Linked DNA regions of Drosophila melanogaster. The protein of the gene in region 1 purifies or fractionates together with the protein of each later gene. This does not show direct contact. Each region holds a gene or a part of one and is shown on either strand. Other genes may lie near its edges. The genes, in order: Synj and EndoA.

Region 1 (16,615 bases):
CGTTGGTCAGGATCACGGGCAGCCGACTCCGGAGTGTGAAGAAGGCAAAGCTCTGCTTGTAATGGCCCGACATAAAGGCATTGAGAGGAGTCTGCAGGTTTACGATCTGGTATTTGGCATCGAATTCCGTTCGCAACAGTCGCGATATTTTGCTGGGTTCCGAGTCCGTTTTGCCTTCGTCCTCGGGCAGTTCGCCTTCCGAGGAAGGGTCCTTCGATAAGGATTCCATCTTTTCTTTTTTTTTGTCTGTGATTTTTGTGCGTTTACTGGTGCATTTTAGCAGAATTTACCTGATTTTGACTGATTTTTCAAAGCTGCAATCTGTTTAGTGTTGCCTAACGCACGTCACACTGCGATTATGCGCAGGACTGTTTGTGAATTTGATTTGTTAAGTTTATGCGCGAGTGTGAATTTTTTCATTCTGACTTATTTTTAAAATTATAGTTTAACAGATAAAACTCCTCATGAAAAATATTCAGTTGCTTAAGAAAATGCAATTTACCACATTCTTGTTTATTTATTTTTCATTTTTATTAATATGCTAAAATTTTTCAAGAAATTATATTTAGTTGGTTGAGAATAGATGGGTTTTTTTTTCTTTTATTTAACGAAAAGGTTGAAGTATATTTCTAAAAAATTTAATGAATAATACAGGACGTTAGTGTCGTGGTTATCAATTATATGTTTAAGTTGTTTCAGCTTATGGTTTTATAAGCATCGCTATTTGAATACAAGCAATATATTGTTTTAAAATTTTAAACAATAATAGTTTTAATAAATACATATGAATGTGAAAATTAAAAGAAAAAATGCAAATACGTTGTTACGTAGTTAATAACGTAAACATATTTTTTTTTTTAGATATATGCATGTTATTAGATATTTTACATATTTTTTACATAAGTAGTATTGAAAAATCATAAGTATCGGTAATCAGCTGTCTTACGAACAGTGCTGGAAATTGGGAAAGCGTGATGGCTTTTTTATCCCCTTTTTGCTTCCGCATCTGATTCATAGCGCTGCCAACACTGCCCCTTTATTGCAGTTTTATTTGGCAAACGAACGCGACGCGAGGTCTGCAAAATGTTTAAAGCGCGAGGAACGGCCAACCAGTGAGTGCACCTCGATTGATCTGTTCGATCCGATCTGGTCTCGCAATCGGGCAGCGCTAAACCGCAGGGCAACCGCAGCAAATGCCATCGTGAATAGAAACGCCCACCCGCACAGACACACGAACGGGGATTTGGATTTGAGTTTGGACTCGGAGTCACCACACACGCACACACTCGCGCGGACCCTTGGAGCACCACCCGCACACACAAACACACACCGCACACCCCGCCAGCCACACACACACACGCACACCCGCAACGATGTCACACCTACCATTGCCGCTTTATGGCTTCGCGGCATTCTTCATGGTTTTCTGGCTGGGCACCTGGATGGTGCATGTGATAGCCATCTGCTACGGGCGCTACAAGCTGCACAAGAAGTCCTGCAAGCTGCCCACGGAGGCACAACCCCTGCCAGGTGTCTCTATTCTCAAGCCCCTCATGGGCGTCGATCCCAACCTGCAGCACAACCTGGAGACCTTTTTCACCATGGACTATCCGCTGTACGAGCTCCTCTTCTGCGTCGAGGACAAGGAGGACCCGGCCATACAGCTGGTGGAGCGACTGCTGGCCAAGTATCCGCTGGTGGACGCCGCCCTCTTTGTAGGTGGCTCCGACGTGGGTGTCAACCCCAAGATCAATAACATCCATCCAGGTTATATGGCCGCCAAGTACGACTTTGTGATGATCTCAGACAGCGGCATCAAGATGAAAGACGACACGCTGCTGGACATGGTGCAGAACATGTCCGAGAAGCACGCCCTGGTCCATCAGATGCCATTCACTTGCGACCGGGACGGATTTGCGGCCACCTTCGAGAAGGTCTTCTTCGGCACGGTGCAGAGCAGAATCTATCTATCGGCCGATGTGCTGGGCATCAATTGCCACACGGGCATGTCTTGTCTGCTGCGCAAGGCTGTCATAGACCAGCTGGGCGGCTTGCGAGCATTTGGCTGCTACTTGGCTGAGGATTTCTTCATCGCGCGCAGTGTAACGCGACTGGGCTGGAAGATGCGCATCTCCAATCAGCCGGCGCTGCAGAACAGTGGTCTCTGCGACATCGGAAGCTTCCAGGCGCGGCTCATTCGATGGGCCAAGCTGCGCGTGGCCATGGTCCCCACCACCATACTGCTGGAGCCGCTCTCCGAGTGCATGATCCTTGGCGCCATAGCCGCCTGGTCGGCATCCGTGCTGTTCAGCTGGGATCCGCTGGTGTTCTACCTGGTGCACGTGCTCTGTTGGTTCCTGTCCGACTGGCTGCTGCTCTCCATTGTCCAGCATGGCTCGATGCCGTTCCACAAGTTCGAGTTCGTCGTTGGCTGGCTGTTCAGAGAGCTGACCGGACCCTATCTGTTCCTGCACGCACTCTGGAATCCGGCCATCCGCTGGCGCGCCCGCACCTACAAGCTTCACTGGGGCGGAGTGGCCTACGAACTGAACAGCCTCGCCAGCGATGCTGCCAACGACCCGCTGGCGCCGCAGCCACAGCCCGCACCCACGTTAGAGCCTGCGGTAGTCAACGCTGGAACAACGGGGGACACGCTGATCTGCACGGGCGCCAAACAGCGACTGCTGGTGTCGTAGCACCTAATAGTTAAGTTTGTTATTTTGTACTTGTGAGCAAACGAACTCAGCGGACTGCAAGCGACTGGCGGGCGGCGTCTAGCGTCTGGTAGTAGTATTATTAGCTGAACCTTAGTCACTACGTAAGTCTAGACTTAAAGCTGTAAAAAGGCGAATGCGGAGCGGCATCCACGCACTCCTCCTGGACGTGAAGCGCGGCAGGCGGACCTAGATTAGTTTAGAAGACACTGTTTAGACGACGAGCGTATCGCTGCGATCGCTCGCCAGAGATTTAGATGTAGGCGTTCGAGTAGATCGACCCGGGCGCATTTTGGTGGCTTCATGGAAACTGGTTAATGATGATGCTTTGTGTATATATATATAGCGTACATATTTTGTAGCCAGCCTGTACAGAGACGTAAGCCCTAGTTAGCATTATGATTGCGATAGTTAGTTCTCCCCGCTTCTGTTGTTGCTTTATTGAGTTGTAATTATTTATTTTGGCCAAGCACACTAGGTATACTGTTATCGCTAAGCCTATACTTATGATTATTTTTAGTTAAGTTGTTTGTGTTGTTTTTTGTTTGCCCCAGCTGCTGTACATAGGCGCCAAAAGGGAATGCCATTGAATAAATCAAATCAAATCGAATCGAATCGAATCGAAACGATCGTGAGAATGAAAACCCATTAGGTTCTGATTGATGTTTATTTACAGTATCGTTTCTCATAGATCCCCCCTCTTATCAGTTAGCTGACTCAGGGGCCTTTTGGCCAAATAGGTGAGAAACGTTTGGCTGAGTCACACCATCGACCATAGTCGGTTTCAGCGTAATTATCACCGCACTCACTTGACTCGACCCTACGCTCCTAATGCGGGCTTGGCGGCGATTGCGCCCCTGTTTGTGTCTAAGTTATGTGGGAGGTGATGGGTCAGGCTGGTGGCGACCATTATAGCGTACTCTAGATGCTGCTCGTAGAACCTTCCAGTCAAATGATCGCATGGGATTGGTGTGGGGGAAAATTCTTTCGATTTCTTTCCACACAGCCAGCCCCTTATCTTAATGAACTTAAGCCATGACAAGCGAGAGACACAAAAACATATTTATGAATTAAATGACTACAGATACGAGAAGCGGGCATATCAGCGGCAAAGGGAGGGAGAAATATACATATATACATATGTGGTTGGACCTTCGATGCAGGTCCGGAACCAACCTAGGCCGACGCCTTTAGCTTACGCATTAGGTTATAACAATATAACAATTAGGCGCAGACGCATTCAAATGAACCAGGCGGGGTAGATGATATATTTGGTGGGCATACACTATTAACGACTGCTGATACTTTTTTTTTTGCACAGCCGCCCTGCCTAAAATGGGCGAAAATGCAATTTAAACGGAATGACGTACTTGGGGGGAGTGCTAAAAATTCCGAAAGCGGCCATATCTTGCTGGAATTATGTAAATTAATCAATCGTTATCAGTACCCAAGGCACGGCAATCCACTCGAATTTCAGTTAAGCGATTAGATAACATATGGGGGGGAATGCGAAAACCCTTCGACTAGAATTGTTGCTTCGCTTGCCAAGAGCTACATATGTATGTAAGCCGAACTATGGAAATAATGTACGAGTATTTGAGTAATTAGTGCGTATTTTTTAAATCAATTCGTATTCTAAGCCTACAACTAGTCAAACATACTTATCGAATAAACTGAGAAGCATGACCAATATAAATCTGACTTTATTTACTTTTCTGGTTCACAAAGAATGCGATGCAATGCAAATTTATTTGCGTCCTCCGGTTTCTGATAAGGCGGATTGGAATGAATCACCCGATTGTCTGTGATTTACAATTAGAGGTTTTGTTGCGACCATTGAGATTACTCAAAATGTCCGCAATGGGGCTATCTAATCGAATTGGAGGAGCATGGTGCGCACGTGAGAAGTGCCAAAAAAAAAATCAGAGCATAGTGAAACAATAAATAAATAATCATTACATTCCATATGTGCATACGGACCAATGCAAACAGTAGGCGATTAAGCGTTCTACATTCTATCGTAGCATGCAATTTTGAGTGACTAAGCTCCATGAAACGTTGTTTCTGAGACCTAATTATCTTAAAACAGCATTGAATTGCTTCCTGTTTGCCGAAAGAAGCGCAAGTGTAATCTTAGCATCAGAAATATTGCCAACTTTTTGGGTCGTTTCTTATCATATAATTTGAAAAGTGTGCAGTTTTGGGACAATTGAGATAAAGACTATATTTGTCCCAGTTTGATGAAAAATGGTTCAGATACTTCAGGGCACTGAGCGAAGCCCCTAGCCTCGGGCTATCGTCAAGTGTCCGCCGTAATCTTCAAAAGTGGTCAATACACTTGACTTTGATGTTTTAGTACACAATTTAAATTCAAATCTTTAGTTCGGCGCGCAGATCTCTGTCAACAGCTCGATAATTATCGAGGCCATATAGAATGCTGTCGTTTTCCGGCTTACCAAATACGGTCATACCACCCAAAGCTCTCCAGAATTTTGCAATAAAATCGCAAACAAAGGTATTAGGAGTATTAAGAGGCGTAAAAAATTCATTTGAGGAGCCAATAGTTTCGTGAAATCTAGTGTTTCCTCTTTTAAGTGGTCGCCAAGCATGCCGTTCGTTGGCTGCCTCTAAAAACAGTCAAATGCCTGTGCAAATTTCTCGTGAAAAATCCATAGAATGCACAAAAAATGTTTATCAGTCACTCACAAACACACGCACGCGCCAGCAGTGAGTGGGAGAGAGCGAGAGAGAGCACAGCTGCCGCCGGTGCATGTCATTGCTGTGTGTGCGTGTGTGGGTGAACTTGAGTGGGAGGCGGAAGATATTGGAAAAATTCCTCCGCTTTTCGGTTTGTTTATGTTTAAGAGTTGCCTATTGATTTTTAACAGGCGCCCGAAATTTTAGTGCCATTTCGGTTCAAAGTGTCTGTTGTACTAGTTGAACTTTCCCATTTCCACTCACCTCGTGCAAATCCTAAAATTAAAAGAATCAAAAACTTTGTGGTATTAAATTAACCCCAAATTTGAGCTCATTTGAGCTATTACGAAGTGCACAAAATAACTTAACTTAGCAAGTAAAACACTCACCAAAATATTTTTTAAAACTTAAAAAAACAACGAATGTAGCGTAGTTGATAATAACTTATTACTTAGTAAAAAAAATATTACGATAAATTAGTTTTAAAAGTGTTGCTCATAAATTGAAATCGAATGAGTCCTATAATTGTAGCATTGCAAACGACGAATCCCAATATTAAACCTACACCTTAAAAACGAAGTACTATTCTTATAAAAATAATAGATCTCTATTATGTAACTGATACACCCTTTAAAAATGTAACTTGTGAAATACACCCACAATTAAATTGTATTTCCCCACCAACAGATGTCTTAGCTTTAGCTGGACGCAAAACTTAAACTGCAGACAGTAAAGGACGAAATCACATTACTCGACTCAAAAGAAGACACACGGAAGAGAGATACCAACAAGATGGCCATGTCCAAGGTGATCCGTGTGCTGGAGAAGTCCATTGCCCCCTCGCCGCACAGCGTATTACTGGAGCATCGGAACAAGAGCGACAGCATCCTGTTCGAGTCCCATGCGGTGGCCCTGCTGACCCAGCAGGAGACGGATGTCATCCGGAAGCAGTACACCAAGGTCTGCGACGCCTACGGATGTCTGGGTGCCCTCCAACTAAACGCCGGCGAGAGCACCGTGCTGTTCCTGGTGCTGGTCACCGGCTGTGTGTCCATGGGCAAGATCGGCGACATCGAGATCTTCCGGATCACACAAACCACTTTTGTCTCGCTACAAAATGCAGCGCCCAACGAAGACAAGATCAGCGAGGTGCGCAAGCTGCTCAACTCGGGCACCTTCTACTTTGCCCACACCAATGCCAGTGCATCGGCATCCGGAGCGTCATCGTATCGGTTCGATATTACGCTTTGCGCCCAGCGACGCCAGCAAACGCAGGAGACGGACAACCGTTTCTTCTGGAATCGCATGATGCACATCCACCTGATGCGCTTCGGTATCGATTGCCAGTCCTGGTTGTTGCAAGCCATGTGCGGCTCCGTAGAAGTGCGCACCGTCTACATCGGTGCCAAACAGGCCCGTGCCGCCATCATTTCCCGACTGAGCTGCGAACGGGCTGGCACGCGTTTCAATGTCCGTGGTACCAACGATGAGGGCTATGTGGCTAACTTTGTGGAAACCGAGCAAGTGATCTACGTGGACGGCGATGTTACTAGTTATGTGCAGACGCGAGGATCGGTGCCACTCTTCTGGGAACAGCCAGGCGTCCAGGTTGGCTCGCACAAGGTGAAGCTATCACGAGGATTCGAGACATCGGCCGCCGCCTTTGATCGACACATGAGCATGATGAGGCAACGTTACGGCTATCAGACGGTGGTGAATCTGCTAGGCAGCTCCCTTGTTGGCAGCAAGGAGGGCGAGGCCATGCTGAGTAATGAGTTCCAGCGTCATCACGGCATGTCAGCCCACAAGGATGTGCCGCATGTGGTGTTTGACTATCATCAGGAGTGTCGCGGCGGCAATTTCTCGGCGCTGGCCAAGCTCAAGGAACGGATCGTAGCCTGCGGTGCTAACTACGGCGTCTTCCACGCGTCCAATGGTCAGGTGTTGCGCGAGCAGTTCGGTGTTGTGCGCACGAATTGCCTAGACTGTTTGGACAGGACAAACTGTGTGCAGACGTATCTCGGGCTTGACACGCTCGGTATCCAGCTAGAGGCTTTGAAAATGGGCGGCAAGCAGCAGAATATTTCGCGGTTTGAGGAGATCTTCCGACAGATGTGGATCAACAACGGAAATGAGGTCAGCAAGATCTACGCCGGCACCGGGGCCATCCAGGGGGGATCAAAACTAATGGATGGTGCGCGATCTGCAGCAAGAACAATTCAAAATAACCTACTGGACAACTCAAAGCAGGTACATTGTGGTTTTCAATTAAAAATTCAATTTATTATTTACATTACTCCCGTTTTTTCATATTTAGGAAGCCATTGATGTCCTGCTAGTGGGCTCCACGCTTAGCTCGGAGCTTGCGGATCGGGCTCGCATCCTACTGCCCTCCAATATGTTGCATGCACCTACCACTGTGTTGAGAGAGCTATGCAAGCGCTACACTGAATATGTGCGTCCTCGAATGGCACGTGTAGCCGTGGGTACCTATAACGTCAACGGCGGCAAGCACTTCCGCAGCATTGTGTTCAAGGATTCGCTGGCCGATTGGCTGCTCGACTGCCATGCCCTTGCCCGCTCCAAGGCGCTTGTAGATGTGAACAATCCGTCGGAGAACGTCGATCATCCGGTGGATATCTACGCCATTGGATTCGAGGAGATTGTGGATCTGAATGCTTCCAACATAATGGCGGCCAGCACCGACAATGCCAAGTTGTGGGCCGAGGAGCTGCAGAAAACGATCTCGCGGGACAATGACTACGTGCTGCTCACATACCAGCAACTGGTGGGCGTGTGCCTATACATCTACATCCGACCGGAGCACGCGCCGCACATCCGGGACGTGGCCATCGACTGTGTTAAGACAGGATTGGGTGGTGCCACTGGGAATAAGGGTGCCTGTGCCATTCGATTTGTGCTTCATGGTACTTCCATGTGCTTCGTGTGTGCCCACTTTGCAGCCGGACAGTCACAGGTGGCTGAAAGGAACGCTGACTACGCGGAAATCACCCGGAAGCTGGCCTTCCCGATGGGCAGGACGCTAAAATCACACGACTGGGTGTTTTGGTGCGGCGACTTCAACTATCGCATCGACATGGAGAAGGACGAATTAAAGGAGTGCGTACGTAATGGAGATCTCTCAACCGTCCTCGAGTTCGATCAATTGCGCAAGGAGCAGGAGGCTGGCAATGTGTTTGGCGAATTCCTCGAGGGAGAGATCACTTTCGACCCGACGTACAAGTATGATTTGTTCAGCGACGACTACGACACCTCGGAGAAACAGCGAGCGCCCGCCTGGACAGATCGGGTTCTCTGGCGTCGCAGGAAGGCGCTGGCCGAGGGCGACTTTGCTGCCTCAGCCTGGAATCCCGGCAAATTGATTCACTACGGTCGTTCGGAGCTAAAGCAGAGTGATCATAGACCCGTGATCGCTATTATTGATGCTGAGATAATGGAGATCGATCAGCAGCGGAGACGTGCTGTATTCGAGCAGGTTATCCGAGATCTGGGTCCGCCGGACTCCACGATTGTGGTACATGTCCTGGAGTCTTCAGCAACTGGAGATGAGGATGGACCAACCATATACGACGAGAATGTGATGTCAGCCCTGATTACCGAGCTATCCAAGATGGGAGAGGTCACTTTGGTGCGCTATGTGGAGGACACCATGTGGGTCACATTTCGGGATGGAGAATCGGCTTTAAATGCGTCTTCTAAGAAGAGTATCCAAGTATGCGGATTAGATCTTATCCTGGAGCTGAAGTCAAAGGACTGGCAGCATCTGGTGGACAGCGAGATAGAGCTATGCACCACGAACACCATACCGCTGTGCGCTAATCCTGTAGAGCATGCACAACTCCTGCAGGCCATTACGCCGGAGTTGCCCCAGCGGCCCAAGCAGCCGCCCACACGTCCCCCAGCCCGTCCCCCAATGCCTATGTCGCCAAAGAACTCACCACGCCACCTGCCCCACGTCGGGGTCATCAGCATTGTGCCCAAGCCGGCAAAGCCACCGATGCCACCGCAACCGCAATCTCAACCTCTAATTCCGTCGCCGCTTCAGCCGCAGGTGGCGCCGCCTCGTCCGCCGGCAATGGACACCACGCCATCCTCCAAATCGCAATCGCCAACGGAACTTGTATCCGCTAGTTCTTCGACGTCCTCTTCGGGAAAGACTTCGCCCACAGCTCCAGCTGTGCTCTCCGGTCCGCCGACGCCGCCGCGCCAAATGCAGAGCAAGCAGGCCACACCCGTCTCGACGCCCACGCGCCAAGTCGGTTCGCCCAAGGATCCGATTCCATCTGATACCGCCTACGAAACCGCCAGTAATATTTACGAGGAGATTCAGGAGGATGTGCCTGCGCCACGCCATCCGCCGCCGGCTGGACCGCCGCCAGTGATAGGAGCACCAATGGGCCCGCCGCCACCGCTGCCGAATCGCAGGGGCCCACCACCCATACCAAATAGGAGCGGCAATGCTCCACCGCTGCCCACGCGACCCGCCAACAACTGAGCTGCAGGCTACGCACACGGGGTTGGTTAAGAATTCAAGAAATATCAAGCGTAATCCGCAACTAATCATATAATGGCTATATTTACAGCTCGCTGTCTTGCACTCCGATTGCATTCCGAATCGCTGTATTTAATGTTATATATACTCGAATATATTGGGCCACTCTGGAGGAGAACTCCTGGCAATATCCGCACTTCGCATGGAATCTATGTTACTACCTGTTTGTTTGTTTCGATAGTTTCTAGCCGGAATCAAACTGAATTTAAAGTAAACAAATAAGTTCCACATAGCTAAAGCCCAAACTACCCCACTCCGGTACTCTCTTTTTTTTTTTTTTACTTACTGGCCAGACGTACTCAACCCAATTGCACCGGATTTGCCGAGGGCGAAGAATGAATATAATGAAGTATATGGGCGACAAAGTATTACACTAATCTGCATAAATGTAATGTTTAAATAAATTATAGCCGTACTAGTCAAATTATGAAGTAAAGTTATAAAAACTGAAGAAGCAATAGAACTCTGTAAAAGATTCCGATTCGAGCGACACACCCAAACACATGTATCCATTGTTATTGAACAACTATTGAGATAAATTACATATTATTCCACATTGTTAAACTATCGTTGTATTCCGTCAATTTGAGGCTACATCCGGATTTCTGTTTCAGTTGACTACAAATATATATCAATGTAATTGAGAAATTCCAATTGCTCTGTTCAAAAGTTGAAGTTACGCCTAAGATTAACCAAGTAGCATACTACAAAATAAAAAAGTTGGACCGTCGTAGTCGCTGCTCCAAGTGAATATTCGCAAAATGCATTGGAAGTTAATAAAACTCAATACAAGAGTCAAGTAAAATTACCTGAGAGTTTTCGTAATTAATTGATTTATTTATTCAATACCAGCTTATCAAGCCAACTCAATTCAAACAGAAACTTAACACCGGGAGCTGAACAAGTCAGTAGTATTGGGCAGCTGGATGGACTAGAACCATTTGGGCAGAGCGTCATGGGGCAGGTTCTTATGGTTGGGCAGCGCCGTGCAGGGACGCTGTTGGCGCCAGAACTCCTGCCGTTTGTTGAGAAACTCCACCGCCTCGCGGGCGTACGCGGAGATGCTCTCCGTGTGTGTGTCCGCGCGGACCAAATCCGGATGGAGCAGCAACTTCTCCAAGTACTCCTTGTCCACGCACAGTTCGCCCAGCAGCTTGCGGGCGTTGCGTCGTTCCAGATCCGCTCGACTGGGTTTCTGCCGCGTCCTGGCACTGGTCCCCGTTGCTCCCGCTGCCTGGGATTTAGGTGTATCCTCGCCGGACTTCCGTGACTTTCCGCTCTTGGGAACAGATGCTGTTGGTCCTGGTGGACCCGGCTTGCTGCCGATGGTGTTCTCGATGGCCTCCTGCGTTTTCTGAACGCCCAGGCGAAACAAAGCCAGTTCCGGACGAGCCCTCAGACCGCGATGGAAGAACATCAGGCTCTGCTCGAACTGACCGAGGTAGTACAGCGACTCAGCCTTCTGGTAGATGGCCCGAATGTTGTTCTTGTCCTCTCCAAGAGCCGTCTCCGCATCCTGCAGTGCCTTGGAAGCCTCGCCCAGCAACAAGTAGCACTTGCTACGCGAAATCAAAGCATTGATGTCGGTGCTATTCAGCTCAAGAGCCTGAAATTTTAAGGTTTTGTTAGCTAGTTTTTAATATGTTATGGCAGATCTTAGAAAACTAAACGGGACTTAACAGCGGTATAGATTCTATTAAAAAGAGAAAACCTGCTTAACTAGATGACTCTGAAATCTGAACAGTTCCAATAATGAAACCAGGAGCACCTTGCAAAAAAAGTGTATGGCGTTCTCGGGATTGGCATTCTTGATCTCCTTGAGCCCCAGTGCGATCACCGAACTGATGTCCGCCTCGTCCGGGATGAGCAGTGCCTCGTTGCGGTCCTGCTTCTGCTTGATCTGGAGACTCTGCTTGATGTCAAATGCACCAGCGCTGACCGCTGCCGCCCGATCTTTGTCCGTGTAGAAGTCGACGAAGTTCTCCTTGGGCTTCTTCTTCTTGGCGATCTGCTCCTCGATCTTTTTGCGTGCCGCCCTAAGTTCGGCCTCAATGCGATTGCCCCGCTTGCCGCCCGCAGCGTCGCCTCCTGCTCCTCCCCCAGCTCCTCCGTCATCCCCCTGCTTTCCATCCCGTCCAGCACCGCGTCCGCCCCGATCAGTGGACTCGCGCCTCTCCCAGATGGGAGGCTTGTGGGAGCGACCCTTGGACCGCCGATTGGTCTCATCCTGTGACTCCTCCTCAGCCGCTGCTCCGGTGCGTATGAAGCTTTGCAGCAGTTCCTGCTCCTTGTCCACAGCAAGAATGGTGTTCAGCACGTTCGACATATCCTTATAATACCCTTGGCAATCGCTGGGAAGAATCTTCAACGTCCGACGATTGGAGTAATCCAAAAAACTCAACTTCTGACCAAATCACTAGCCAATTGATTGGCGCTATAATGGGTTGTTGCCAGGAAACTGGCGCCACCAAATGGGTTAGCAATCGATAACAAAACAACCACTCGTGCTGTGCCAGGTGCTACATATCAGGTGTCAGGCACCAGGTGTCGTGTCGTTTGGCGGTGTGAATGCCAAGAACAATGGCCTCCATGTGGGTCACGACCTTGGGGACGCCCTATTAGAAGGTGAGAATGCATATCCACTCCGATCTATCCTCTTTTCTCAGTGGTCCTCGAGATTATCATATTTTAAACTAATTTTTTGGTTAATGCTTAAGGAATCGAGTTGGGATTTTGTTAACCATGACTGGCTTACGGGGCGTATGAGTAACTTTCTTGATATGTTTTGAGGGGGACTTTAATTTCCTTAAAATTACGCATATTAAAGTAGCTCCTTTATAACACTAAAACTATCAACGGTATCTTTTCTCAATACGTTTTTTGTTTGCTAGCATAGAGGAATAAATTGGCATACGTGTCGTATGAGTAATATAAAAAAATGTAACAAAAAAACCTTAATGTAAACTAAAACTTATCATTAAACACTTGAACAATCTTGGCTATAAAAAAAGCCTTTCTATAGTGTTTCTATATGGTGTTACTCTACAGGTGCTTGTTCAACTACGTTAAGAATGTCAAACTGTGCTCCTTTGTTGTGAACTAAAACCTGTGCGAAGCTTTCAGGAGCTTTTAGCGGATGTCCTTTCCCGCTAAGTGATTATCCTTCTTCACGAACAAAGCATTAAATGCTTAAAAGTGAAAATGAAACACATAAAATATCACCGCCTTCGTTTTTATGTACTTTTCGAAAATTATGAAATTAAATAAAAGTACATAGATTACTTTTATCTTAATTACATATTTTTTAAATGCGATAAAACCCGTTTCAAATATCCTCAACTGTGTCTAATTTAAATGATTCACTTTGTGTAAAGTTTATCAAACATTATTTATAGTGCAATTCGGAGATGGTATTCCCAATTGCACTTTATTATTTGATGGAAATAATTCTGCCTAGTCTTAACTGTGGCTAGTAAGTTTCCCAACACACCTGGTTGTATCCAAACAAAGCCTTCTCGTAGGCCCGAACCTTCATGTGGTTATTGGATTGATCGCATAGCAGTTTAATATTGGTCTCGATCTCCTCGAGAGTATCGACCTTCGGTTTCTTGCGCGGCATTTTAAATTCGGTATTGTTAAGTAGTTATAGTGGCTTATTGAGATGGTGTATCGTAGTAGTTTCACATTTTTCACCCTTCAAGCCTGTGACTTCTTCACTCCGTAGTCTAAAATTGACGTCTGAACGCGACGGTTGTCGTTGAGCAACTGAATTATGTGCCTTCACTTTGCATTTGACCCAACTTGGCTCGCTTCTAGACCCCCAATCCATGGAAAAGGCACCCCATCACAAGCTGCAACTCAGGGGTTCCGGCTTTTCTTTACTTTGTATACCAGTTTACATGCGCTGACAAGCAGCAATAAACTTCAATAAAGTTTCATTAATATCTCAACAAACCCTTCTGAGCATTCTGAAAAGCCACAATATCCTTTGGATACCACAAAATATTAGTTTTTGTTATGAAACATCTACTAGCTGATTCATTTTGTCATCAGCTGTGACTTTAATAACAGAAAATTATTTGTTTATGGTGATTAGATCACATAATGTGCAGTGTCAATTATACATGTTACATGAACTCTATTTCACTTTAACAATAATAAAACTCGAAAAAAATATAAAACAAACAATTGTTTTTTACATAATCCCTTCTTTCTGTGTAGACTTTGGATCGCTGAAAAGGCGGATTCACCGCATTTACACGCAGTTAATTGAAGTCATCAAAATTAAAACCCAACTCCGGACGGGGAGTCACGCACCCGAGCCCGGCTGATAAGAGAAGGCCAACGGAGAAGGAGTCAGACAATCGATTTGCAGCAGGTGAAACCCATTTGGCAGCACCACCACCGAAAGAACCCCTCTTCCACCCATTTGGGTTGGTGCGGTAGTGAGGGGAAGTACATTCGCCAGTTAAGGACATTTATTTCGACAAATTTATGAACCCCAACAAATTGCTATTAATTTTCCGGTATTGTTTTTAGAGTAAATAAATAAGCTTGATGTTTGAGCAGGTCGTAAAGGTGGAGCACGTGAGGGAAAGTGGGTTAGGGCTGGTGGATGTATGGATGGATGGATGGATTCGTGGCTGGGTGTGGGTGGTTCCAGGCGGTTGGCGGTTGGCCTGGTCTTGCGTGCGCCAGCCTCATTCCGACAGCGACTGGCAACCTTCGCGGTGGCGTGACGAAACAATTTTATTTGTCCTGCCCTCGTAACGGTGGCCTGGACTTTGCAAGTGGAGGTGGATCTGGAGGCGGATCCGGAGGTGGGGCTCCATTTGTGGCCTGCTCCCCTGCGCCTGATACCTTGCAGATGTGCTGTCGGAAATTATGATATTTGCATTTGCTCAAGTTGCTCCCCTCGGCGGCGGAGGTAGAGCAAGACCTTAATGCCGACTCGCGTTTACGACAACTCCAATTGAACAGACACGACCTCCGATTGTAATGGCTTCGATTCCCTGATTGGAGCAGCCCGCATGCAAGGCACCAGCCGAACCACCTGTTGAATGCGGGGCCACTTGGCTATCTAAGCTCAAAATGGGATCAAGTTTTGAGGGTCCATTAAATTTTAAATCTAAACATTCATTCCTGAAAACATTGAACAGCAGCACGGATCCCTGTGTCATTTCAAGGTTTAGCCCTTGTTCCATCGATTTTTCATATACCGACACAAGCAGGGAATTGTGCAGAAATGCACAACTAAATTTAAGGGAATTTTTAAAAGACCCAAAGAATTAGTAAATATATACCCAAACAATTTGTATTATCGTTCTTACCAGGAAAGATTATAGTCGGAATTGAACCAATTGCAAATATTAAGCACAAGAACTTTCCACATTTAAACACAATTGGCTTATTCTATAAAAGTAATATAATATATATCATGAGTATTGATCCCTGGAAATCACTTACGTATTTTATGCCAAGAGTCATTAAAATTCCCGCCCCAAGATAGGAAAGTCCCAAACCAGCAATGACCACCCTGAGTGTCCTTTGGAACGGAAAATTTCTGTCAACTGTTACGACTTCCATCAGATCGGCAAGGAGCAAGAACGAGTAACCGAACCCAAACAAGGACCCCCAAACTAAGCACCATGTGGCATAGAAGCTGGTGCAGACTTCGGGGGATACGGATGTGACCATGCACATTAAAAAAGCAAGTAGTGGACAATATATATATATATAATATATATATGTTTATGTCTGATGAACTTGCTTTCAAAAGTTGCTATGATTAATTTTGCTGCCGATTGGTAATATATATATTTATACAGATTTAAAAGGTGAATATCATTCGTGGTTACAATATCATTCTAAATATCATTTGGGATATGATGTAGTTCCAAGCTATCCCCAGCGATTCTTTTTAAAGCTGTGCAGATATACCATGGCGACAAGGTGGACAACTAAGGCGGAAAAAAGGAGTAAAGAGGTGCTCAAGTGATAAAACAGTAGCTTACTGATTGGGTATAAGGCTAATGCAAACATGATTGGATAAATGTAGCTTAAGATTATGCCGGTTTTAAACAGTGATTTATTGTTCTGCTGAAACAAAATACAAAAAATATTCAGCCATATAAGGTAAACTTTGAACTTGCCAGTCTATCGCCAAGCATCATGAGTATCCCAGCAATGACGTAGGTTAGTGCAATGACGAGTACAGCAAATCCGATGCTAAAGGCAAATGACACCACATCGCTATGGGGACTATGCGAAGTCGCCATTAATATTCCTAACAACATTCCTACGGCTCCAAAACATATGCACCATATCGGATAGAAGATGGCGCAACAGTCCGGTGTATAAATGCACATTTTAAAGCACTTCCTTAATCCTGAACGTGTATATGTGTATACTGACTGACGCGTTGGCGTATTTAAAGTGAGCTGTTTTCCCAGTGTACTACGTTCAGAGAATTCCGGGATTCCCTTCACTATAAGATTATTGGCTTTATTCTTGTAGCTGATCTGTTTTATCCGACTATCTGTATAGTTCCGAGACTTTTTATTGTGCAAGTACTGTGGTGACCCGCGGGTCAGTTACTTTACTTAGCTCTAGCATAGGTACATGTACATGG
Region 2 (15,369 bases), on another chromosome or scaffold:
TGCCAGATTTTAAGTCTGCTTGCTCCGCTCGCCTGTCGCTTAGTGGTAATTTGGAGGAGTGACCTCAGCCTTTCCATGTGCAGACGGGTGACGTGCTCGATGCAGTCCTTAAACGTTTGCTCCAGCTCACCACTGTAGAATACCTCGATGCATTTGGTCGTTTCAGTGTATGCACTATCCAATACTTCACGGGCAGCAACCTTCTTCTGATTCTCCAGCTTGACGTAGAAATCGTGGATCTGCGCATCCACGTTTTTGGCTGCCCTAGATGCGGTGTGGATTCTATGCTGGTCGTCGTAGTTCATCTTGGAGGCCACAGCTTTGGCCATTTGCTCCCATCGCGGATGCGCTGCTATCCATATCGTACACAAAAGTGTTATCAAAATAATACCGAAAATGGTTGACAGCCAACTCATTGTACACTAAGTGGTTCGAACTAAAAAATTTTGTGATTCTGTTTAGAATAAATGGCTGTCATAGGCAGTACACACCTTGACATCTCTATACAAAAGTAAAATTCCTTAAACACAAGCACGAAATACAACATAGTAAAACAAATCCATCCAACCCTAATAACTTTTTATTATTCCGAACATATTCCAAATCTGTATAACATATTAGACTTCTATGAGATTCCTAAATATTCCTCTATGTGGTTAAACTTTGTAAGATGATTACGTTAATTAGCAGAAGAAGCCAATTCGGGCGGCACCAGAGGTGGCTCCATAAATGGGCCAGTGTTCCGCGGCCAAGCGATCCAAGGCAGTATAAAAGCCAGCGAAGACGGCTTTAACACAAGTCTTGTGAAGATCGACACCTTGGGTGGATTTCAGCTCAGCCTCGCAATGGGATAAAGCCAATTTCAGAGTGTCCAATTGGTCATTGGCATCGTTCCGGGCCTCAACACTGTTGGGTAGCTTTCCTTGGGCCACAACTTGAGCGATTTTGAACTGTTCATTGGCCCAATCAATTGACTGTTGCACGGCCACATTTTGGCCAACCGATTGTCCGGTCTATTGAGCGCATATATATGAAAAAATAGATTATTTTTAAAGATTTTTTTTTGTGTTTAGTATTATTTTCAATTACCAAAACAACCAAGACGCAGAAAGCTATCAGCACTGCACTCGACATTTTCTGGAAACTTTCAATGACCGACTGAAGCACAATTTGAAAAACTCGAAAGACATTCAAACTTATCTTCTGTTTGCGCTTTGATAGAGTTTACAGCCTCCATTATCTCACCATCTATCTGAGTGCAATACGAAACGATAGCCTCAACCCCATTATGTTTTATGTTGGTCCATAAGCGTATATTTGCTGGATTAATTAGATAACTTTATCAGCGGAAGTGGCACTCGGGAATCAAATAACAGTAGCAAGTGCTAATAGCAAACTACGGATGAACACCATTCAGTTTGTGGGATGATTCACTATTGGATTGGAACTTTGGTCGTGAACGGATTTAGTTTTTGCACTAATTTTTGCGACCCACAATATCGTCGAATAACAAACGAACTAACGAACTTTGACACAGTCCAAAGCCGCAGAAATTTTGTTGCCTACTTTGGGGGGCACACACAACTTTTGCATCAAAACAAAAAAAGCCGCAAACCGAAAACAAATTTCCATACATGCACTTTCCGTAGAATCCCTTCGTATGTGTCGCATTTTGCTTTTATTTCTTTTTTTTTTGTTTTTTAATTTTTTCCTCTAACCAATTTCGGATTTATATATACTCTTAGTTGGGCAGTTGCGGCTGGATTTCATTCTGTGCTCGAAATTACCATTTTTTGTTTTGCTGCTGCTGCCTGAATTTCAAATGCCGCAACTTTTGCATTACCAAAACAGAGCTTAAGGCGGTTCATTCGGTTGAGGTTTAGTTACGGAGGGTTGGTCGATCAGTTCGCGGCTAACACTACACCAAAGTTGGCCAAGTTTGGCCCGCATTGTTGTAATGACGACGAACAAACTCGAATTTCAATACCGAAATACTTTTATTAATTGGCCCAAAACTTTTGCACTCCCCATCTTGTGAAGCGGCGGATGTTGTGTATGTTGGAAATTTACATTTAATTAAATATTTCAATCTGAATTCAAACTCGCCCCCATTTAGGCATTGTTCGTGGCTTATCCAACATCCAATGGCCCCTTCGTCATTTGGTCATTTGGTCATTTGTGGCCGGTCCTTGGCTCGTTAAGCCAAGCCATTTAATAACCACAGGTCCTAAGCCCGGAATTCGAATTGAAATGCAAATCCAAAAGCCATATCAAATCGAATCGATTCGATTCACATCGAATCGAAGGGCAGGATGGCCGGCAATTTGAGTGAGGACATTGGATAATTGGAGCTGCACTGGCACATAAATCAACATTGCCGCCGCAACTGGACGCAACTCAAGCGAGCTGACTCCCGACCCTCAACTCAAAGGGCTCCAATTGAGAAGCAAATCATGCACTGGAAACAATTGATGGCGCCAATGGAAAAGTGCATAAAAGGGCTGTCATAACCCCGCAAAATGAGCTGGGCCAGGGAGGTCAGGGAAACAAAGCAGAGGAACTCAGTACAAATATTTGACCAAAATGCGTCAAGTTCCATGCGATGGCCAAAACGATTCAAGTGTGCGTCGAAGTGATGACGACTTGGCCATTATATATTTCACTGAAAATTAAGTCACTTCAGTTGCATATATTTTTTAATGAAATATTACGATTTAGCTTAATTTTGGTATTATTGGATTAAGCTACTTAAAGCTAAGCTATAGTAACTTTTTTAATCCTGCAAGTTAGCATATTAAAACTATTAATTTATAAAAATTATTTGCTTAGAACTTAAGTTAGCATATTTCCCCCATAATGACAACACTAACTTTCCAAAGCATAAGCATCCTTTTAGTCGAGGTCGAACCAGGATTTTCGTGACGGTGACGTGAGCAGCCAAGTATTTGCGCCCCGAAAAGCGTCAAGAAGGCAAACGCCAAAATTTGTAATTCCCGATGGGAAATTTAATAAAGCAGCGGAATGCAAAGCTCGGCCGGCCACATCAAAGCATGTCCTAGGTCAGGAGTCCTTTGGCCTCCCCCCCCCTCCCCCCCTTACCACACACACACACACACACACCTTTGCACCCCTTAAACCAGCATAGGAAATTCCGGCATTAGGCTTATTTAAATTTTATTGCATCTATGTTGGTCGATTGCTAAGCTAGGAAGTATTGGACACTAAGGCAGCCGGAGGACAGGACTAGAATCCTAGGCAGCAGCTGCTCCTGTGGGACTGGCGGTGGCGGCCAAACGGGCCTGCCACTCGTCATCGATGGCCTTCAGCTGGTTCTTGGCCGTGGTCAGCAGAGGCTTGACACAGCGTATCTGCAGCCAGGGCAAAGTGGCGTTGTTGCAGCCACTGATCGACTCCTCCGAGGTGGCCACCACATCCAGGACGCGCTCCGCCAGGTCGGCGGGAAAGTCAGGCTGGGAGAGCAGACGCTCGGCTTCGCGTTGCAGGACTATCGACTGGAAGAATGAGGAAATCGAGGCGCCTCCAAAGGGAGCAGACGGTGCCACGGGAGCGGCTACACCGGCGGCAGCTCCTGTGCCAGCACCTCCGAAAATTCCATTTAGGAAGGGATTAAAGGCAGCCGCATACGGATTGGCGGCGGCAAAGGGATTTCCGGCAAGGGGATTTCCAACAGTAGCTCCAGGGCCCTTACGAGTAAATTATGATAATTCGGTTACATAATAATCCACTTAATGGGGGGGCCCATATCCACAACTCCTCACCTGTGCACTGATGCAGGCAATGCTGGCCGCCAGTAGAACAATTGCGAATTTCATTTCTTTTAATTTATCTGAGTTCACTTGGTTCTCAGTCGTTGGGTTTCGTCTAGACTAATTGCCAAAAGCACAACGGCTTGCGGCTTTTATACGCCATTAAAAACACGGCAGGGAGATCTTATCTCTGATATCTCAACTATTACTACTGCGATTGAACTGATTTACATGTTCATTGTTTGTTCGGTGGTGCTAAGTACCTCTCGGGGGTTATCTGTTCAGATAGAGCCAGAATATATAAAAAAAAAAAAGGTGGTAAAATTGCTACTTCATGCTGTGAACGTCACTGGTTTTTACGATGCAAATGGGGTTTAATTTTTGCCTGGGATATATTTGCCACCTTCTAGAAAGATAAAATTGACTGCTGTGCTACTGGTTATTTTGCGCACAGTTATTTTGGTAAACAGGATAAACATGATATTTTCTTATCCATTCTGAGTCATTCCATTTTTATCTTAGCGTAACATTCATCAGCAGTTATACAGCTTTATTTTTGCTGAGTACGTTTTCTATCAATATAATATATTTATGTATTGTAATGTTAGAATTTTACGCGCCAAACTGTTATTCTAATCTAACAGCTATTCGATTAACAGCATGTACAAGGACAGAGCAAATACAGAGACCGACAGTGGGACCGACCATATTTATTCTAGTCTAATAATTCTGCCAATCAACATAGATTTCAAATTCAAATTTATAATGCATTAACATTATAAGTATTAGATATTAAATGTAAGATATTATGTTAACTGTTTATGTGCTTCTGGCTTCTTAATATAAAATATATATATTACTTTAATTTTTAATATTGTTTTGATATATATATATAACTATCTAATACCCCCCTGCAAAGAAATTAAATGAAAATGTTAAGTTGTACCTCACATCTTTAACATATGCCTAGAGATGAGCGTATCCCGTGTATGTCCGTTGTTGTATGCGAATGATTTTGGTATTTTACGAACCACCGGTCACACTGAATGTTTTTTAACAGAATTATCGATAGTCCCGCAGCTCCAGTGGCTTAGTGCCGTTGAAAATTGTTGTACACAGTCAAGATATTGATTTTTGCGAGCCGAGAGGAAAACGCGACCCCACAGCCCCCGCCCCCTGTGCGCGACCAGTAGTAGTAGTAACGACTCACGGTCCTTCAAACATTACGCAGCCCAAGGTTCTGGAAAAAATCGAAGATTACGAGCAGAGCAACAAAAAAAAAAACGGGGCAGAACGTGCAGAGCAAGCGAAGCGAGTGAAAGTGCCCGCAGTAGTGGTCAGCAAAAGTAGAACTCGAACTCGGGCTACAGTTCACCAAGCCAATTCGAGTTTCCCGACTCGCAGCCTCCACTGAGCGAGCAGAAGAGCCCCGGAAAGTAGCACCCCCAGCGGAGAAGGAACGGAGAAAAGTGCAGTACGCGTAAGTCTTCCAAACGTAAACGTTTTAAAAATAGACACACTCAGCCAGCCAGCCAGCCAGCCAGGCAGTCGGGCAGTCAGTGAGGCAGCCATCCAGTCCATTGATGAAATTGTTGACTTGATGATATTGACATTGAATTTGAAATCGAGTCTCGACTAACCCAACCAACCCGTTCACAGCAACTGCGTCGAGCGCCCCAAGACCAATTTAATCAGAGGAAGAAAACCAGAAGAGACAGCAGCAGCCATGGCTTTCGCCGGACTCAAAAAGCAGATCAACAAGGCCAACCAGTATATGACGGAGAAGATGGGCGGTGCCGAGGGCACCAAACTGGACATGGACTTCATGGAGATGGAACGCAAGACGGACGTCACCGTGGAGCTAGTGGAGGAGCTGCAGCTAAAGACGAAGGAGTTCCTGCAGCCGAATCCAACGGCACGGGCCAAAATGGCAGCGGTCAAGGGCATCTCGAAGCTGTCCGGACAGGCCAAGTCCAATACGTATCCGCAACCGGAGGGCCTGCTCGCGGAATGCATGCTGACTTATGGGAAGAAGCTCGGCGAGGACAACAGCGTGTTCGCGCAGGCGCTCGTCGAATTCGGCGAAGCGCTGAAACAGATGGCCGACGTCAAGTATTCGCTGGACGACAACATCAAGCAGAACTTTTTGGAGCCACTGCATCATATGCAGACCAAAGACCTCAAGGAGGTAATGCATCATCGCAAGAAGCTGCAGGGCCGGCGGCTAGACTTTGACTGCAAGCGTCGCCGACAGGCCAAGGACGATGAGATTCGTGGTGCCGAGGACAAGTTCGGTGAATCGCTCCAGCTGGCCCAGGTGGGCATGTTCAATTTGCTCGAGAACGATACGGAGCATGTCTCCCAGCTGGTCACCTTTGCCGAGGCACTATACGATTTTCATTCGCAATGCGCGGATGTCCTTCGAGGCCTGCAGGAGACACTGCAGGAGAAGCGCTCCGAGGCGGAGAGCCGGCCACGCAACGAGTTCGTGCCCAAGACGCTGCTCGATCTGAACTTGGACGGCGGTGGCGGCGGCCTCAACGAAGATGGCACGCCGTCTCACATTAGTTCGAGCGCCTCGCCGTTGCCCTCGCCGATGCGTTCGCCCGCCAAGTCGATGGCCGTAACGCCGCAGCGCCAGCAGCAGCCCTGCTGCCAGGCCCTCTACGACTTCGAGCCGGAGAATCCCGGCGAACTGGCCTTCAAGGAGAACGACATTATCACCCTGTTGAATCGCGTCGACGACAATTGGTTCGAGGGCGCGGTGAATGGCCGCACCGGTTACTTCCCGCAGTCGTATGTTCAGGTGCAGGTGCCCCTGCCCAATGGCAACTAGGCTATTCCTCATCCTGTTCCTCGTATTAATCCCGATCCCTAAACCAATCCCATCCTATCAAACTGGCTGAAGACGTACGTAGATCGCTGATTGGAGAACAATAACCTTAATTGTTGGTTTCGCCACCAGAGGCGCGAAATTGGGCAGCCCAAGCCGATGCAGAAGCAGGAGCAGCAGAAGCAGCAGCAGCAGCACATAAATGCAAATATATATATATAGTTGAATTAGATGAGCGGGTTACTACGATTACGGATATTACGATACGGCTTAGCTAGCAGCACACAGCAGGCTAAATTCATGGTGGCCATAGAGCAAGCTAACTAAATTTTATGTGCAAAATTATACCAGTTGGCAACACAATAATTAACAAATTAACTACGAGTTAAATTAATGTACGTATTAACTAACTAAATTTACAAGACGTTACGCGCGCAATGCCACTTCCTTGCGTTTTTACCTTTGATTCTCAAACGTCAGCTTTGTTGTTCGTTGCAAGTTGCGAACATTTAGTACTACTTCACACAATAGATCGATCACGTATTAGAACAGTTGGTCCGGCGGCAGAAGCAAACAGAAAAACACTCTAGCTAATTAACTAAATTACCCGTGTAATCTTAATCACGCCCATGGAGGCGCGTCTCTTTTGTCTTTCCACCTGAGTTCTTCTAGCCTCCAGTTTTCGGAGGTCTTTTTATCCGGTCTCATCGTTGTAATTTAAACCAACCTACGCCAATGCGCTCTCTATGCAAATGTCCCTTTATAGGCTAAAGCTACGTATCCACACCATACGCCCGCCCACATGCATATACATATTTATTATATACCCGAAAATACCTACATATACCTACTCTACCTACGTATATTTGTGCAAAAACAATACTCCCCACACTCTATTCTAAAAGGCATACGGAATACCGTTCTTGATGTTCGTTGTTCAATGTAAAGAATAATTCAATTCAATTTTTCGAGGATGAAACAAGCGAAATTTGTATCCTACTTTTTGCTCCTTTTTATGTGTGTTGTTTTTTTTGTTTGTTAATTATATACATAACAACTATATATATATATATTAAATGAAATCAAATATATGTATAAATATATTTATTAAGCGTATTATCTACATGTATATTTATTATTATGTATTTATTATAAATTATACTGAGCAGCAACGTAAACAATATAATGAATATTTAAACGATGATAACAGATAAAAAGTACTAGCGGCAAGTAAATGTAACAGAATCCTCCTAAACAATACCAACCAACAAGCATAATACTAGTTAAACGATTTCCACAAAAATGTTGATAATAATAACTTTAAACGTAAGCAAAATCCAGTCAAGTCAATCGAAGCATAGCAACACTTACGAACCTACTAACGCGTTTACCAACCGCAACTCTAGATCAAATATTTATATATTTAACGAGATAATAATAAACATTCGACGGCAAACCGATAAAATGATTCAAAATAGTCTCATGTTGGCATACAGCTATGCACGATATACATACGAATGTATATACATATATATACTCGTACGTTTAGGAATGATATACACAAGATACATATATATTTACGTATGAAGAAAACCATTGAATTGAAAGCCATGCAACTTGTGTTGATAATAAATTTGTTAAATGCCAAGAAAACATTTAACAGAATTATATATTCGAGTGCGAAGATGAAACATTTGCCTCGTGGACGGACAGACTGCCAGTGCGAACATTTCCAGAGGATACCCCATCTGGGGAGGATCCACCCATCGCCTGGAGACTATCTTTCCACGCGATACACACTTGCCCCACGTGCAGCGGGGCCCGAACTTCAAACAATAATTATTGTAATTTTGCATTTTTGTGTGGGCGGTAACTTGAATAATATATATTACAAGGCATATACATAATAATAATAACTATGCTAAAACTGAAGACCCTAATTTATGCAAACCAAAATTAATAAAATTTAATTTTTAATGTGTCTTTCGTTCAAAGTCATAACTGAGAAACAACAAAAAAAAAAACAAGCAAACGTCGTTTACTCTTTGATATTTCCCATCTGACCTTAAAACCATAAAACGTGCTGCCTGTTGTGTAACACAGAGACTCGAATGCTGCTGGGAATGGGTGGTGGTGGGCGATGTGGGAATCCGGAGGCGCCACCAATAAACTACAACAGAAGCATTGAAATTTTCGATTTTCCACACACAGACACAGGCAGCCGCCAGCACACCCTCCCCTCCCCTATCCCACTGACCCAGTGGGCATGACATTGAAACGTGACGCAGCATCCAACCCCTGATGCCCACGCCTCCAGTCCAAAAAGTGGGTGAGGTCATGCTGCCAGGACACGAGTGTTTGCCAGTCTGGGCTGATGCAACCAATTCAGTCAGTGGGGGAATCTTCAGTCTTCTTTCTTTGCCAATTCTGTTGGCTATTTTTTTGGCATTGCGCAGGTGAAAATCAAGGCAATATATTTTTATCTGTTTGTTTGTAAAAAGCAATTAAAGTTTTCCCTTAATGTAAACTTGGAAATTTGTTCAAAGAACATACATATGTACATACTCTAAACAAATGCTTAATTCTTATGATTACCATTGCTTTTGAAAACATTGATCTTTTTATTAGCCATGCTTAAAGATTAGCAGCTCGCTTCAAAGTTAAACAAAGTTTATTATTGAAAGTATTGTATGTTACTTTTTTTTTATTATTTTAATAAGAATATACATTAATATAATATTATCATTTCTACCTTTTGCAATTCCTATTTGTATGACCGCAACTGTAACGGCATGTGAAGTGAAAAACATTGGCATGGTTGAGTTATCAACCATTGGACATGCGATAAGACAACACACCCAATCTATTGAATACTCTTAGTCAGACCTACGAGAAGACCACATACTCCTCATACTGACCGAGAATCCTGCGCTTGGGCCGCTGCAACGCCTCGTGGCCCAAGGTCAGACAGACGGGCTGATCCTTGTAGACGCCCTGCTCCTGGAGCACAGCGTGCGGAGCACATCGCCAGGGATCCTTGGTGGCTACCTGCCAGTCGAACAGTTGCTCGCGTAACTGCTTCAGGGTGCCATTGTACTTGGCCTTATCGGCCAGATTGAAACGCTCCAAGGGATCCGTCTTAATGTCGTACAGCTCCCATTCGGGTCGCTGGTAGTACTGCAACAAGGAACGATACCATGGCAGAGTTTGCTTCCTGAGAGTGGCATTCAATATCTGCTGGAATGTGGGTGAAGTGTAAAAGTCCTGGTCGATGGGGAAGTCTGCCCAGTAGTTGATATTATGGATAAGCTTGTAGCGCCTATTGCGCACCATTCTCATGGGATAGGCCATGGTCACCTCGTGGTAACTGTGACTACCGAACACCGAATCGCTCTCCTTGATCGGAGGTTCCTCCCGCAGTACTGGGAGTATCGATCTGCCAACGATTTTGGTGTCATTCGGTCGGGGAATCTGAAGAGCATCCATTACACTGGGGTATATATCCAAAAGACTGACCATGGCAGCAGTGGCTTCATGATGACGATCCTCCTTATTGGGAGAGCTAATGATCAGGGGCGATCGTATGCCGTGCTCGTAGAGATTGGTTCTGCCTCCGGGAAACGGTGGTCCATTGTCGGAGGTGTAGATCACGAGTGTCTGATCTGCCACGCCGGCTGCTTCTAGCTCCTTCAGCATTAGACCAACTCCCTGATCCAACCTCGAGATGGTCATGTACTGAGCAGCCAGCTCCTGACGCACTACATCCGTGTCGGGCAGCCAGGCGGGCACGTCCAGGTTACGCCAATCGTAGTAGATGGGCTTCCAGTCGGGTATGCTGCCCATTCCCTCCTCTCCGCTGCCCCAACGCTCACAGAATTCTCCAAACTGCGGGGTGATGTGGCCACAACGATGGGGATCATGGAAGCCGACCATCAGGAAGAAGGGTTTCTTTTCGTCCTTGGCCTGCTTGAGAAACTGCCTGGCATACTCCTTCATCCGGGTGATGTTTCTGCCAATCTGGTTGATGGAATGCTGCTCCTCTGTTTGCTCGAAATCGAAACGGAAATTGTTGGCGGCCCCAACATGTTTCTTGCCAATGATGCCGCTCAAGATCCGTCCGCCACTTTGATCACGGATTAAATTGGGCAGCGATCCGGTATCCGGAAGAACATTGAAGTTGTGCACGCCCTGATGGAGTCCATACATTCCGCTGGAGTGACCAGCCTGGCCGGTGAGCAACTGCGAGCGACTGGGACTGCAACTGCTTACCGAGGTGAAGGCGTTGTTGAAAAGCAATCCGCGTTTTGCCAGTGCGTCCAGATTGGGAGTTTGGCAGAATTTGTTCAGATAGGCGCCCGATTCGAAGCCGGCATCGTCAGCCAGAAGCAGCAGGACATTCTGCGGGCCAGCGGAGCAACCAGCAATTAGCCATAGTGTAAAAATCCACTGCAGAAATTGCATGTTGACATAAATCCAGTTCCAAATCCAAATTAAATATATTTGAGAGCGCAGAACAAAGCGATTCTTCAGTCGACGTCAGCGTACTGAAGTACGGCTCAAGAGAGCCGCATACTTTTAAGTGTCCACAAAGCCTCTCATTTCTCCGTTCTCCGTTTAAGACGCATTCAATTCCATTCCCAGTTCCAGTTTTAATCTCATCAACACAACAAATGCTCAGCGGGAGCGCGCCTAGGTACATTCACTTTGCCCGACTTTCTTTGGGAGCGGTTTGACTACAGTCAACACACCATACAGAGAACTAAAGTGTGAGGGTACTGTACAGTCATACGATTAAAGAATCATCATAAATATCAGTGAGATATATCTGAACAGTATAAAAAACAGCACTTCCACAAAAAAAATGTTTCATTTGAAATTTAAAATGCTTTAAAAACACTTTACATTTATAAACCATTAAAACACAGCCAATGAGCTGTTATAAAACATATGTACATTTAACTAGTATATATTCAACTGTATTGTATTGTAACATTTTGTGTACTTTGGTAAATTATAACCCGCCATATAATAATAAGCAGTATTCTTTTGTGACAGACATGGAAATAGATTTAAATCACCAAGAGTTTGGTTTGCATGACTCTGGCCATTAGGTGATCAACACGTTGTACTTTCTGATTTTATCTTGCGCCATGGAGAAGATAAAAGCAGGAACAGTGTCGCCAAATGGAACCACGTCAGGGTGTCAAGGCCAATCGCAAAGTGCAATGCGATTGTATGTTTTGAAAAATTATAAATCTACAAAACAAATGTTCGTTCTGCTTGTTTAGGCTTTTCTGTGTCGAAATGCGCAGTTTCTTCCAGCGACTAAAGAGTTTTCACATTGGGTGAGCTCATCTTATGTAAGTGGACAACCCCCAAAATGAATCATCGGCCGGCTAATTTAAGCCAGCCAGCCAGCTACAGTTTAAGCCACCCCCTTTTTGCCCTGCACCGGTGTGAAAATTTCGCCCAACATGTTTAACAACACTATGAGTTTTCCAAAAGTTGTGGCAACATGTTGCCAAGAGATTTTCGCAGTCTCTGGCAACAAGCCAACAATACGAATCAGCTGGGCCAGACTAAAACAGCTGTTGCAACGTGTGGCAAGTGTTGCATCAGCCAATCTCAACCAGCGAGAGAGAGTTTCACTCACGTGGAGAGAAAGAGTGCGAATCTGTATTGTTTGTTGTTGCTGCATGGCAGGCTGCCAAACCAGTTGCCCTATACCTTTTGGAGCGGACATAGGTGACATATGTAACCATAAATACTTACATTTACATTAAAAATCCTGTGAATGATCATATGAATATAAATGAATATTTAGGCGCGAAAAAATACGCAAAGTATTGAACTATACTTAAGTTTCGCGGCTTTTTATTAAATACCAGTTTATTAACCCTTTGTGAGCAAACATAGTTGCTATTACTTACAACCTTAATATCTACGTTTCTAAATTATCTGGGTGCAGAGTAAAATTTATTCTTTTTTTTTAGCTTCTCTTATCTATTGTAGCCAATTTAGACCGAAATGCTATCTGTGCAATTTTCAGACTGTCGCTAGCCAAATAATATGAACGGCTATGAATAATCTGTCTGCGTTTTGCACAGTTTATTGAAAATATATATATTTTTTGTTATATTAACTTAACTGTGTTGTATGTAATACTTTGCCTCAAGTTAATAGCACATGGAAATTTTTTTTTTTCAGAACTTAAATCAGTTGATGCTAATGCATTGTTTACACCTTTTTCAGCTGCTTTCAACCAGCTAAGGGTTTTAGAGTAGAGTAGTATCTAAGAAGTAGAGGCACCCACTTATCCGAGTGGCCCATCCTCCGCATCACAAAAATAATGAGAGAAAAAGATCCCCGCGTGGAAATGTTTTGGGGGCACGGCCATAGAAAATAGACACAGCAGCTGAGAGAGCGCGTGTGTGTGAATATATGTGAATATATATTGGTGGTGGGGAAAGGGTATATGGACGGAGCGGTGAATGAAACCGGCAACGACGTCAGCAAAATTATATCAACCCCGGCCAGCGGCTGCCGTCCAGTGCTCGCAGTTGAGTCAGTTAGTAACAATACTTCGTCGCGAACAGAACAACAATTCAGTGAGTCAAGGCAAACGACAGAGCTTTCGGTGTGCAAATCAGCGTGGAATTTGTGAAATTTTCGATACGTGTTTTAGAATCCCATCTTAATGGCATCAAACGCTGAACCTCGTTACAAAGATATCCTATTCATAGAACAGTAATTTCTTTTCGTGTAAAACGTACCAGATAAACTCAACTTTGAGTGCAAAGTTCAGAGTGATTAACAGCCTGAAAAACATTTGCGAGAGACGCAATAAATTGGCGAAAATTAAACAAACAATTTCTATATATACTTCGTATCTCGGTATCTCAGATAACAGTTGTATCTAGATGCTATATAGATAAGCGCTTGTGAACACGAACACTTGACGAGTACATTAAGCATACGCCCGATCTACACAAGTGGTATCACTGAAGCAACAGCTGACCGTACCAAAAAAAAAAAAGAAAAAAAAAGAGAAAAACACTTCAAAGGCATTTTGCCCCAATATTATGTTCGTTCTGCCTGCGGTTGGTGCAACACTAACAGCAACAGCAGTGTCGAGAAAAAGCGGGAAATCCAACATCGCGTCGCCTAAGAACGTCATGCAACATTCGCCTGTCGTTGTCTTCATGTGTGTGCAACATTCGCAGCAGCAGGTTCCCATGCTCAACAACTTTATGTGTATGCGTATGCGCGGCTGGCATAACAATAAGTTTTATTGCAACAATTCAATCAATATCGAGACCTCCACGATCGGCACCGGCACTGGTGGCACTACGGGCACTAAGATCCTACGACGCTCCAAGTTGCTACGAAAGAAGCGTGACTTTAACCGCCGTCGCTTTAGTCGCCGCACTTTCTTTTGAAACCGATTCGAATAAGTCAAATAGTCACCGGAGATAAGGAGCAACAAGGATCAAGATCATATTAGTGCCGTCATCATTGGAACCTGCTCAACGTGGCAGCAACATGATGGAGGGTAAGCAACTACTGGCCACATTTCTCATTTTCCCAAAGCCAGCAACATTTGTTGCCACAACTTTGTTGCTGGCGGTGTCATTGACACTGGGTACACTTCACGTCGAGTATACATAGATAGATGAGGCCACCTACCTATAGGCCTATAGTAATCGTGAACTTTTGTAGGGCGTTGTTTTGATAGGTGTTTTGATTACATGTGAAAACGTGACGCTTAAAATAATAAATTTATATGGGGTTTCTAAACCGGATTCTGTCTTATATCTTATTCTATATTATTAGTTAAGTAACTAGTCTTAAATTTTGTATCTTTAGGATGATTACTAAATAATTAATAATGGTGACCTGTTGAGTTACAGACATTCATGCATATATGGTAGGGAAGATACAAAAATCTTTGGCTTTACTAATTTAAAACTTTAGAGACTGAGCACACCGAAACAGCTTAAAAAAACACATTTTTGGATATGCCAGACAACTGCTTGTTGCAAAAAATCACTTTAAACTTAGTCATACACTTTTAGCTACCACCACACTATATTGTATGTACATATGTAGATCACGTTTCAGATAAAAGTGATAAGATAAGATAATCAAATCGAACAAGGAAGGGGCTTTGTAGATCAATTGCTATTCATCTACACATGCAAAACGCCCTACCTTTCCATTCCCATTTCGTGGAATCGAAAAATGCGCACTCATCGTGAAAAGATTGAACGAATCGCTACGTGTTGGCCATTTATTTTGTTAATTTGCCAACTGAGGGCGTCCATTGTTGATGGTCGTCTTCGATATTCCAAGAGCTCGTGCCAGTCGGTGCGCTGCGCAAGATTGTCGTTTGAAAGTCACATATTTTTGCACGCATATGTGGACTGGCATTTAAGCTCCTCAGCTTTGGGGGCTAAAATCAGAGGACGTGGGCAAATAATCAAAATGACCCCCCCCCCCCTTGGTTATATTGTATTTGTGTCTGCAGATCAGGCCCATTACAAATATCACATGATGACAGTTTTTGCCAACCGCTGAAGCTCATTTTGCGCTTTATATTTATCAGCATGACTCATGGATTTCTAAATTATCAGTTAAAGCTGTTATACATACATGCATACGTACGTACGCAGAGCTTTTCGATTTCGAGAATTCAACAGCTTTTATCTGAGCACACATTCAAAGAGAGCTTACTAATACCACGACAAGAAAGCTCTTCTCTTCAAATGT

Evidence for each region.
Region 2: the proteins of Synj (region 1) and EndoA purify together in Drosophila melanogaster (affinity purification with western blotting; 3 studies listed by BioGRID). This does not show direct contact.

What each region holds. Positions count from the first base shown.
Region 1 is NT_033778.4:22,074,977-22,091,591, forward strand, and holds Synj (synaptojanin), read left to right. Parts: upstream 1-5,199; 5' UTR 5,200-5,229; intron 5,230-5,466; exon of another isoform or gene 5,467-5,562; intron 5,563-5,708; exon of another isoform or gene 5,709-5,787; intron 5,788-6,098; 5' UTR 6,099-6,203; coding exon 6,204-7,661; intron 7,662-7,728; coding exon 7,729-9,927; 3' UTR 9,928-9,948; intron 9,949-10,015; 3' UTR 10,016-10,445; downstream 10,446-16,615. Other genes in the region: CG2921 (uncharacterized protein), read right to left, coding at 1-229; GlcT (glucosylceramide synthase), read left to right, coding at 1,374-2,696; CG13502 (uncharacterized protein), read right to left, coding at 10,916-11,590, 11,753-12,310; CG43393 (uncharacterized protein), read right to left, coding at 15,173-15,237, 15,315-15,396, 15,451-15,687; CG44163 (uncharacterized protein), read right to left, coding at 15,886-15,944, 15,999-16,080, 16,137-16,352.
Region 2 is NT_033777.3:18,901,774-18,917,142, forward strand, and holds EndoA (endophilin A), read left to right. Parts: upstream 1-4,835; 5' UTR 4,836-5,247; exon of another isoform or gene 5,248-5,426; 5' UTR 5,427-5,493; coding exon 5,494-6,603; 3' UTR 6,604-6,677; exon of another isoform or gene 6,678-6,732; 3' UTR 6,733-8,982; downstream 8,983-15,369. Other genes in the region: CG14294 (uncharacterized protein), read right to left, coding at 1-416; CG34284 (uncharacterized protein), read right to left, coding at 684-1,013, 1,090-1,134; CG14292 (uncharacterized protein), read right to left, coding at 3,252-3,704, 3,780-3,833; Sgsh (N-sulfoglucosamine sulfohydrolase), read right to left, coding at 9,487-11,061. UniProt on the Drosophila melanogaster protein: Required presynaptically at the neuromuscular junction. Implicated in synaptic vesicle endocytosis.